3 linked regions of the Astyanax mexicanus genome follow. The protein of the gene in region 1 interacts with the protein of each later gene in a biochemical or structural test. Links are inferred from orthologs where the notes say so. Each region holds a gene or a part of one and is shown on either strand. Other genes may lie near its edges. The genes, in order: lef1, mitfa and nlk2.

Region 1 (3,753 bases):
CCCCCCACCCCTGAGCTGGGACGCGCGCGCACGTGGTCGCCCTCCCTCCACAGTTACACACACAAAGAGGGAGCAGAGTAGGGAGGGGGGCGGGTGGGGGGGAACAGATGAAAGAGCCGCCCTGAAGATCAAAGGGAGCCGCGGCCCAGCCTTCAAGCCCCGCCCACTGCTTTATAAAGCCCACCTCTGTCGGAGCACGCTCACTCTCACGCAACCAGCAGACACTGAACGAACACACACACACAGAGTCTGAGTCACTGAGGTTTATTTAGTAGTTTATCGCGTTCAGTGTATGATTCTCTCTCTCCGCAGTTTTACGATGCTGAGTGTCCTGCATTAAAAACGCGTGTCGGGTTTTCTTCTTTTTCTTTATGTGCCCTGGCCTCTTTCACTCAGCCTAAACATCCCTTCCTTTATTCACTCTTTCCTTCAGCACTGAAACCCAGCCTGTAAAAACTCTACCAACACTCAGCTTCTGTGAAAGAATGAGTGATTATGGTTTCACTAAGATATCCCACTTTTCTGAAAACCAAGCAGAACAGGAGAAATGTAAAGCTATAGGATCTAGTTTTGCAAGTAATTCAAAGTAGGGTTATACAGGTCTAATTATATATACCTATAATATATACCTTACGTGCTAGACGTGATGTTTAACACTATATATATATATATATATATATATATATATTAAATGAAACTGTAGAGCAATAGTTTCTAAAGTTATTTATAAAATATATATATATATATATATATATATATATATATATATATATATATATATACATACATTACATTATATATAATATAAATATATTTGTAAATATTTTATCAGTTTTAATCAATTATTTACATGCTGCTTTGATTTATACATATACATCCTTAGATCACTTTATTTATTTATTTATTTTTTACCATTTTAGGCAAAAGCTTTGATTTAACCTGGACTAACTAATTGTCATTATTGTTGCCCTAGAGCTTAAATGTTTTTAAAATACATTTCAAATCCAGCTTCATACCTGTACCACTGATTTACTGCTGTAACGGGCAACAAAATGTGCCATAAGAGTCCTGTCTATTTCTGCGATTCAATTTATTTATTTGAATAAAATTCTAATGTGGAATTTGAGTGAGTAATCATAACAATTTAATCGTTACAATTGTTTCTAAGCAAATATATTATTTAAATTAATAATATTAACATAAATATAAATATTAAAATATACATTTAATTTATTAAATATTTTTGGTGCGTCAATTGTACGCACACACAATACGAGAAACGTTTCGAATATCTGATTTTGGAGATTTTCTATCATTAAAAACAACTTTTAGAAAACTTTTAAAAAAAATTTAGGGGCTCGTTTGTGTGCATTTATGTGTTTGTGTGTCTGTGTGTATATGCACACTTTTAATTTTAACACCCTAAACCCCCCTCCAAATACTGTTTTTTTTTTGTTTTTTTTGCTGTCCTGCCATTTGCTGAGAGATGGATACCCCTTCACCCCCTCTTCCTCCTCCTCCTCCTCTTCCTCCTCAGGAGTGTCAATCGCTGCGGTGTCAATCAGCTCGGCGGCTCGCCTTTCATCTCTCTCCCTACAGTCAGTGTGGGAGAGGAAAGGAGGAGAGGGAGGAGAGAGAGAGAGAGAGCAAAGCTACATTACACACACTCTCTCTCTCTTTCTCTCTCACACACACATTCACACACTCTCTCAGTCAGTCAGGCAGGCAGTCAGAGGGTCTGCAGCTCGCGAGGAGCGTCGAGGCTCCGCTTTGGACGTTCTGACGCTTCGGCGCAACGACTTTTTTTAAAACACTTTGTTCGAGTTTTTTGGGCAGAAAATCTTCGCTTTTCTTCGCATGGAGCTTTTCTGAGACTGAAGCGCAACTAGAAACAAAGTTACAGATTTTTTGTTCACAGTTTTTCACAGAGTTTTTGCGGCTTGTGTCAGTGTTTTTGTTTGTTGTTGTGCGGTTTTGGCGTTCAATCAGTGCGATTAATCGAATTGATTGATTGAGTGGGTGTTTGTTTTTTTCTGTCTGAGGAGGAAATATACACACGTCGGGAGCTGTGCTGGCTGTGTGTTAGTAGCCTGGAGAAGAAAGAAGTGTGTGTGAGTGTGAGACAGAGTGTGTGAAAAGTCTGAACTCTTTGAAGTTCTTTTTATTTCTTAAAAAAAAAAAAAAACAGAGAGAGAGAGCGAGATTGAGACATTGTATCTCAATATTTCCTCCTCAAACTCAGGGCTTTGTCCCACACACACATTTTGATCACACACACAAACACACACACACACACCTTGGGTTCTCCTCCTGTTGCTGCTCCCCGCACGCGCTTCCTTCCCACGTGAAGTTTTCACACAAGTTTATTCTGTGATTTTTTTATTATTTTTTCTGAGGGGATTTTTTTTTGGGGGGGACGTTAGCGTGTTATCATGCCCCAGCTAGCTGGAGGTGGAGGTGGCGGCGGAGGTGGAGATCCAGAGCTTTGCGCCACAGATGAAATGATTCCCTTCAAGGACGAAGGAGACCCGCAGAAAGAGCAGATCTTTGCAGAGATCAGCCACTCGGAGGAGGAAGGAGATTTAGCCGAGATCAAATCTTCTCTGGTTAACGAAACGGAGGACAGTCCCAACAGCACCGGCCACGATGTGAGTAACTAACAAACTACCTGCTGGAGGAAGGGGGAAAGTGGGGGCTAAAATGACTCAATATTGTTAAAAACCACCAAGACTCCCTTAATTCGTTCTCACAGCCAGTGCAATACACCAATCCTGCAATACTACACAGAACATGTTCAAAATAAATGCTTATTTGGCTTGAAACTACAGTGAAGTTGTAGGTAGACCCTTTAAACAGTGTCTCCATCATAAACAAGAACTGTTTAACCAGTGAAATGGCAATTTAAGTACTTAAATTACCTACAAAAAACTGAATGAATATTTTTTTTTATATTTTGCTCTTATACAATCACTCAAGAGTTATGTTTCAAAGAAAATGATCAAAATATATGATAATTTTGCTTTAAACAACAGTAAACCCCTTTTTGTTATGAGCAAAAAAAAATTAAGTGTTATTTAACCAGGGCAATTGCCATTTAAGTACTTAAAGTACCTGGAAAAAACTGTGAATGAAAATGCTTTCCCATCAGTAGCTTCAACTCAGAATCTGAGTTTTATATTTTTGATATTTTGCTGTTATAAACTCACTCGATTTATCTAATTTATTCACACAGCCAGTACACTAAACAGAAAATGTTTAACATAAATGCTTATTTGGTTTGAAACAGCAGTGAAGCCTGTTTTGTATGAGCAGAACCTTTAAACTGTGTCTTCATTATAAACTAGTACTGTTTAACCATGGAAATTGCCATTTAAGTATTTAAATATCCTGGGAAAAAAATACAGCCACTCAATCTGTTTACACAGCCAGTGCACTATATCACTACTTCAAGACTACGCAAAAAAAAAAAAAAAATCAAAATAAATGCATATTTGGCTTGAAACAACAGTGGAGCCCTTAACCATTGAAATTGCAGTTTAAATACCTGATAAATCTGTGACTGAGGAACCTGTGAATAAAAAATGCTCAGCTGTAGCTTAAACTAAATTTTACATTAATGTTTCTCTTTTGTTATTTTATAACCACTCAAGAGTTCTCTAATCCATTCATACACTCCCTACACTTCACCATTAGATGTAGAACATTTTCAGTATAAGCTAAACGATTTAAATGACTTGAAATAACAGTAAACCC
Region 2 (3,753 bases), on another chromosome or scaffold:
TTAGCGCCCTCACAATACACCCTAAATCACACCCTACCCTACATCAAGCTGCACGCCCCACAATTAACCGATGCACTAAAAATACCTAAAGTAGGGCCCTTTATGTTTTAAATGACAAAAATATGTATTTATAAATAATATAAATCTCTGCCCTGTTCCACTTCTGTGGTCACATTTCCCTGTGTTTGTTTACCTGTGCCTCATGCCTGTCATTTCCCCTAGTGCTCTGTCTGTTTTCATATGTAGCTCCACCCCTGTGTTCATCCGTGTCTTTACCTCTACTGTTGTCACCTGTGTTAATTTGTAGCTCCTCCCCTCATTAATAGGTCCCCAAGTGTTACTTGTCCCTTTCCGCCTTGTGTGTGTATTTAAGCTCCTGTGTGTTCAGTGTTAGTTTGTCGGTTCTTGTGCGTGTATACATCTGTCTCGGCTGCGTTTTTTGAATTCTGTTTGTGATTCAGTTTGTTGTACAAGTTCCTGTTTGTTTTATTGTTTGATTGTTTGTTATTTTCATAAAAGATTACTTGCGTGTGTGTTTCCACTCTCCTCGTCCATCCTTTCACACAGCTTGACATTAAAACATTAAAAAGGTCTCTATTTTCACATGTATTCTGGTTGTATAAGTGGGGGTATTGTTTTGAAGGCTATATATGTATAGCATGTGAAATAAATTTTTGTTACAATTTTAATCAGTATATTATAATTGTCTGGAGGTTAAAATAGCCAAGCATAAAAGTAAATACTTTATAGTAAATTTGAAGGTAGGGTTAATGGATGTTTTGTTGAATGTCAGATGAATGTTGGTGACGCATCTACAGTATAATGGACCATCTAAACTCCATCTATCCATTTACTCGTCCTGCTTCTTCGTCAGCAGCAGAACTTTTCAGAACTTCTCAGTGAAGTAAATCGTATGATTAGCGACAGGTTGAAGGAGTTTTAAAGCTCATGAGAAGAGTTTAAAGGGTTGTGTTTGGAGGAGTGTGTGTTTGGAGGAGTGTGTGTGTTTGGAGGAGTGTGTGTTTGGAGGAGTGTGTGTTGTTTGTGGTGTGTATGAGTTCGTCTCCTCTCTCTCCAGCATTTCAGAATTTACTCTGCCTCGTTTTTGAAGGCACAGTGGCGGCGATTGTCTCCTCGATGCTCAGAACAAACAATGTTTTATGCCGGGCGAGCGGAACTAAAGATGAAACAGTAGTTAGCCTAAAGCCAGTTTCAGTTTAGAGACTAGCTACCCATCAGTTAAAAGGGGCTTTTGTGAATTGGGGATGGTGACGTCAAATGAACTCTATAAAAGCATAAAGTCTTCATTTTAGGGGAAAAATCTCAGTATGAGGGCAAATAGATCTCCTCCCCTTCCTTAAATATCCTCAGATTGAGCTCGACCTGCTGAGGAGCTCCACTGGCGCTCATTTGCGATTTGACTCGTTAGCTCATTAGCCCTTAGCTCGTTAGCTTGTTAGCTTATTTTCTCGCTTGGCCATCGTAAAGGGTTCAACCTGACGAAGGGAATATTTATCGGCGTTTATCAACGTTTATTGAGGTTTATGAACTGATTCATTGCACAAGACAACATGTTGGAGATGCTTGAGTACAGCCATTACCAGGTAAGACGTGATTTGACAGGAATTGACTTTACATAGAATTTGATTGGCCTTAAAAATTGAGTAAAAATGATTACAGCTCATTTTTAAAATCATTCAGTAATCCAAGTTTAAATAAAGGTTTGATTGATTGAGGGTGTTTAACCCAAAATTTGGGTCACTAAACTTTTTCCTACTTGTTTTTTTTACTCATTTATTCATATTTTAATTTTAAACTTTATATAATGTTTCCTAGCACTTATATGTCCAATACAATGAGGCATAGACAATGTGGGTCATAAATAAATCTACGTATATGTCTGGGAATATGTAAAGAAATACACTGGAATTACAGTAAAATTAAGTTAATTAGACCTAAAACTGAAAGTCAATGCTTTTAAAGCAACTGCGTTTTTTTTATTCTAGTCTTGATAATTGACTTTAATTGACATTGTGATGTTTTTGTGCTGGTGTTTGTTTTGTTTTTAAGTTGTTTGTATTGTTATTGATCGTAAATATATAGTATATATATTTATAGTTTATAGTGCAATGAATTTAGTACTTGCTGCACTTGTAGTGTACTTGTTAATGTATTTCTTATGGAATAGGCTAATTAGCTGTTATATTATATGCTAATATTGCATAAACACTTTAAATTTACATTTTTAAACCAATCGAATGTATGTCTACCAATGTCACCCAAAATATATGCTAAATATATGTCTCAATCCTACAGAAATGTACTGAATTTGCTCTGAATTTGTTCACAATCCTCCGTCCAGGTACAGACTCACCTGGAGAACCCCACTAAGTACCACCTCCAGCAGGCCCAGAGGCACCAGGTGAAGCATTACCTGTCCAGCACCCTGGGGGCCAAACTCAGCCCACAGGCCAGCAGTGGGCCGTGCCCGAGCCAGCCCCCGGAGCACGGCATGCCCCCCGGCCCAGGAGCCAGCGCCCCGAACAGCCCTATGGCCCTGCTCACCCTCACCTCCAACTGCGAGAAAGAGGTACGTACAGTATATATGTTTAAAATAGAAATATATGCGTTTATGAGGAATCTAGAACATGCATTAATGTCAATTTTATTATTTGCATGATTTTACTGGTTTAACTGTTTCTAACTCAAGCAATGAGAAAAATTAAGAGGCAACTTCAATTTCTGAATCAGTTTCTCTGATTTTGCTATTTATAGGTTTATGTTTGACTAAAATGAACATTGTTGTTTTATTCTATAAACTACAGACAACATTTCTCCCAAATTACAAATCAAAATAATGACTAAAAAAAGACACAGAAACACAGAGAAATCTGTAACTTTTAAAAGTAGAAGTCTTTTCTTTAGATAAATTACAGATAAAACCTTCAAAAGACTCTTGGAAACTGGAGAAAAAACTGCTACAGGAAGACGTCTGGCTGACCCACATGGAAACAGCATCTTAAGCCTTTAGCTCAGATTAACATGATTAAGGACTGGGGGAAGAATATGTTTCTCTGATTTTGCTATTTATAGGTTTATGTTTGAATAAAATGAACATTGTTGTTTTGTTCTATAAACTAGAGAGCTAGAGTTCTATAAACAGAGCTTTCAGACCTCAAATAATGCAAAGAAAACAAGTTCATATTCATAAAGTTTTAAGAGTTCAGAAATCAATATTTGGTGGAATAACCCTGGTTGGTTTTTAATCACAGTTTTTTTTTTCATGCATCTTGGCATCATGTTCTCCTCCACCAGTCTTACACACTGCTTTTGGATAACTTTATGCTGCTTTACTCCTGGTGCAAAAATTCAATCAGTTCTATTTACTTTTACTTTTATACTTTAAGTAGTTTTGGAATTAGAGAAATTTTACTACACTTTTACTCAAAGAGTAAAAAAAAAAAGCTTGATTTGATACTTAAACCATATTATCTGTACTTGTACCTACAGAGTAATTAATAGAGTTCCTTTTTTATATCTGATTAAATGTAATTAAAGTGTATTTTGTGTTTTTGTTTTCTGTTCTCTTTTGTTTTTGGTGCTGCTGCTGCTGCAGATGGACGATGTAATTGAAGATATTATCAGCCTGGAGTCGAGTTATAATGATGATATACTCGGACTCATGGATACAGGACTACAGATGGCGAATACAGTAAGAAGAATAAACTTTCTTGTTCATTTCCAATAATTCAA
Region 3 (3,753 bases), on another chromosome or scaffold:
AAAGAACCTTTCACTAACACATCCTATAGCAGTGATTCTCACAGAAGTCTTGATGGTTTTCAATGGTTACAACACAGCAATGGAGCAATGTGAGAACAGTCTACTTGTCCCCAAAGTCTAGTTTGACCACCAAAACCAAAAGGAACCAAAAGTAAATGTTTCTTAAACAAAATTGCGGAAAGAAGACTTTCAAATAACTTTATTTGAGATAGTTTTATTAATGTTGGTTATTTTAGAACTACATGGAAACTATGCCCAAGTAGTTATTATAGTGGTGGCCTCAACGGAGGCCTCAAAACATGAGGCCTAAACTCTGCAGAGCTGCAGCCCTCCAAGACTCAAGCCTGACACCCCTGCCACAGAGTTCAGGAGATTGAAGCTAAAGAACCTGCTTCAGCAAAACAGGCCGCCACTCACCAGACCACACCGAAGGCTCCGTATCCAATGGGCCTGTCCGGCTCGATGTCCAGTTGCTGCTGCAAGTGGTGAGCATGCTGATGGTGGTGATGATGCGCCTTGACTGCCGCAGCGGCCGCCGCCTGGACCTGAGCTGGGGCTGCAGCCGCCGCCGGGCCAGGGGCTTGTCCGGGAGCAGGCGAAGGGAAGTACGGCTGTTGCTGGCTCGGGTTCAGCATGACTGCAGCCGCCGCAGCCGCGGCCGAGGCGTGCTGCTGTTGCACAGGGTGCACGGCCGCAGCCGAGCCAGGGTGCTGCAGGTGGTGCTGGCCCGGGTGGTGGTGATGGTGCAGGTGAGGAGGCGGAAGGTGTGGCAGTTGGTGGTGGTGGTGAGGGTGATGGGCCGCCACGGCCGAGGCGCCGCCACTGTACGCAGCCATCATTTTTGCGGCATTGGTCGCCGTCGTCCCGCAAAGAGCCATTCACTCAACAGCCAGAGGAAGAGAGGGAAAGCGAAAAGAAAGGAAGAGAAAAACAAAACTAAAGAGAAAGGGGACAAGAGCGAAAATGGGGTCTCCTGAAAGATCAAACAGGCGAAGAGATGGAAGAGGCCTAGCCTAGATCATTGGCCTGCTATCTATCCAATGGATGGACATATCCAAACAAAAATGCTTGGAGTAGAGCAAAGTAAGTGTGACAAGTGTGAAAAGATGTTGAGTGACAAGACTAGATTTGAGTGGCTTTAACATGAGTGCACCAGCTCTGTCTCTCTCTCTCTTTCCCTCTCTCTCAGCTCTCATAAAGTCAACTCCATGCTTCAGCTAAGCTAGCTATCTTCCATTTGATCTGACCTACTTCTGGGAAATGCGCTTTGCTCTCTTATGGCCAGGCAGGCACTACAAATTTCCCACAATCAGACCACAATCACAACTGCACATTCAGAAAAAGCCTGAACAGCTAAAAAAAGCAAGGAAATGAAAGAGAAAGAAGAATGAAAGAAAATAAATGTTGATGATGATGGTGATGATGATGATGTGACTAACAAAAATCCCACTCCCCCCTCAGTCCAGAGATCCTGTATGGCCTTAAATCTCCCTCATGTTGGAGGTAAGAAAGCTCTCCACTCTCCAAACAACCTGAGGCCCTTGTTTCCCTCCTTTTATCTCCTGTTTAAGAGTGAGAAGGTTGAAACTGAATGTGGTGGGTTAAGTGGGGAATGCAACCTTCATCTTTTAGACTTCTTCACATTGGCCATGTTGGCTGGTCCGGAGCCGAGGCTGCTTCCACGGCCGGAGGCTGCATGCAGTGTTTTTGGAGTCAGTGAAGAAGTTAGCACTGGATTCTCGCCCAAGGCCAGCACCTCCACAACCAGCACGGAGCTCTGGTGCTCGCTAGGCGGCTGAGATCACTCTGTTTCGGGGCAGAAAGTGGACCAAACCCCCTCCATATATGCAGCTATTCCTGCTTCTGGGTTAGAGCTAGGAGAGGCTGGCTGGCTGGCAGGGTGGATGGATACGACAGGTACTCCTGAACAGCTGTAGCTGTAAATCTCGCTGCTTCTCCTTTTCCCAAACGTCAAAATCGAAGCCCCCGAAGCCCCTCCGGTCCCCAAGCCCCCATCGCGTCGACGAAACAAGCCGAATCACCCCTTCTCCTCCCCGGAGCGAAGAACACAAATTCTTCCGGAGCCAGTCAACTTATTTTCTCCATCGACTCCTCCGGCGTGAGGCAGCTAACCCTACACTGCTGTTCCTTCCAGACACCCTGGCATAAATCCGCTCCAGGAAAACAGATCCACAGCTCCGCGCACCGCGGAGGAATCGCGCAGCCACAGCCGGACCCCGCTGCTGCTGCTGCCGCCTGGACGTTAAGGCAACACGCGCCCGAGCCTGAGCTTCTTCAGACCAACCGTCGACTCCCCCCCTCCCCTTATGACTGACGCCCGTGACCGACGTCCATTCTGACCAACCGCGTCGCGACCCAGCCACCCTCAACCAATCACAGCGCGCCGCTCTCGCCTCTAATGCGGGCTTGCAGCCAATGGGCGGAAGGGGGCGGAAACAGGCGAGCGACCCCAGCAGCAAAACAAAGTGGGGCCTGTTGCCTGTGAAACGGACGCCATTACGGCAAGAGAGAGCCGGTGTTCTGTCAAGTTGCACTACCCGTCAAAATCTGCTGCTTAGAGGCCGTGCGCATGCGCCGACTCACATGTTTGAAAAAGGTTTTTTAATGTGGATTTTTTATGATAAAAATCATTAATAAAAATAACCTATACTTTTCATCGCTTGCATAAAATAATATAAGCTTACTGTAACTATTTCCTTGAGGTTAAAATAAAATTAAAGCAAATTAAAAACAAACATAAAAAAGCTTAGTTTCGTTTTTTTTTTTTTTTTTTTTGAGCGTATATTTCCCTGATGCACTTATTTTGGCCATATAAAATCCAGCTATACTTCTGCTGGGAGTATGTAAGATATGGTGCTTCTAAACGTTTTAAACGGAAACCAGAACGTATTTTTCTTTTCCATACTGTTTGTTTTACCTAGGCAGCTCTACCTATAAATAGAGCTTCGCTGTCGAAGCACGTTTTGACAGGGTAGCACAAATCGGCACAACACAGGCCAGCGCCGGGGGAGCGGACGGGCCAAACCAACCCAAATGGCCGAGCTGGAGCTCCGCTCTGCCCGCTGCAGATCAAGCGGAGGCAAATAATAAAATAATTAAATTGAGCAGTTATTCAGCCCGCCGCTGAACGGCCTCTCTGGGCTGGGAATGACTGCCACCATCCGCCGGCAGGTTACTGCCCCAGGCGTGCAGCCGCCGGGGTAAAGGTACAGGCGGCGGTAAAGTTTGGGTTTGGGGTCAGGTGAACTTTCTCATCCAGCACCTTCCTAAAGTAATCGTAAAAAAATCGCCTAACTCATATTTTCAAGTTTTTTTTTATAGGAAATACATAAACATTAGACATTTAAAAATAAGCAATGGTTTAAGAGGATATTTTATCATACAGTCAAGCAGTTCAATCCTAAATCCTGAATTCTAAAAATATTGATTTAAAAATCAGAAAACATTTTAACAGCCACTTCTAGAATACTTCTAGCTTTATGGAATTGACTGCTGACTAAAATCCAAACTAAAAATACAGAAAAAAAAATAAATAATAAAAAATAAACCTCAATAATGAGACTAAAATGTATTCATAAAAAGTAAACTTTATATAATAGTAAAACTCTCATCACTTACTAGGTGGGGATGTTGGAAAATTAGATCAGTGAAGGGAGCTGCCATCTTTTTTAGGCATAATTTACTAGCTTAAGTCACACTCTTTGCATTCCTAAAACTGAGAGTATAGGGGAT

Evidence for each region.
Region 2: the proteins of lef1 (region 1) and mitfa form a complex in vitro, tested with the Homo sapiens proteins (2 studies listed by BioGRID). The link is inferred for Astyanax mexicanus from reciprocal best matches to the Homo sapiens genes LEF1 and MITF.
Region 3: of the proteins of lef1 (region 1) and nlk2, one has a biochemical effect on the other in vitro, tested with the Homo sapiens proteins (4 studies listed by BioGRID). The link is inferred for Astyanax mexicanus from reciprocal best matches to the Homo sapiens genes LEF1 and NLK.

The regions. Positions count from the first base shown.
Region 1 is NC_064414.1:45,612,313-45,616,065, reverse strand, and holds the start of lef1 (lymphoid enhancer-binding factor 1), read left to right. Parts: upstream 1-1,615; 5' UTR 1,616-2,432; coding exon 2,433-2,648; intron 2,649-3,753. UniProt on the Homo sapiens protein: Transcription factor that binds DNA in a sequence-specific manner. Participates in the Wnt signaling pathway. Activates transcription of target genes in the presence of CTNNB1 and EP300.
Region 2 is NC_064412.1:2,748,846-2,752,598, reverse strand, and holds the start of mitfa (melanocyte inducing transcription factor a), read left to right. Parts: upstream 1-1,342; 5' UTR 1,343-1,571; coding exon 1,572-1,604; intron 1,605-2,362; coding exon 2,363-2,590; intron 2,591-3,616; coding exon 3,617-3,712; intron 3,713-3,753. UniProt on the Homo sapiens protein: Transcription factor that acts as a master regulator of melanocyte survival and differentiation as well as melanosome biogenesis.
Region 3 is NC_064425.1:29,109,358-29,113,110, forward strand, and holds the start of nlk2 (serine/threonine-protein kinase NLK), read right to left. Parts: upstream 2,344-3,753; 5' UTR 879-2,343; coding exon 418-878; intron 1-417. UniProt on the Homo sapiens protein: Serine/threonine-protein kinase that regulates a number of transcription factors with key roles in cell fate determination. Positive effector of the non-canonical Wnt signaling pathway, acting downstream of WNT5A, MAP3K7/TAK1 and HIPK2.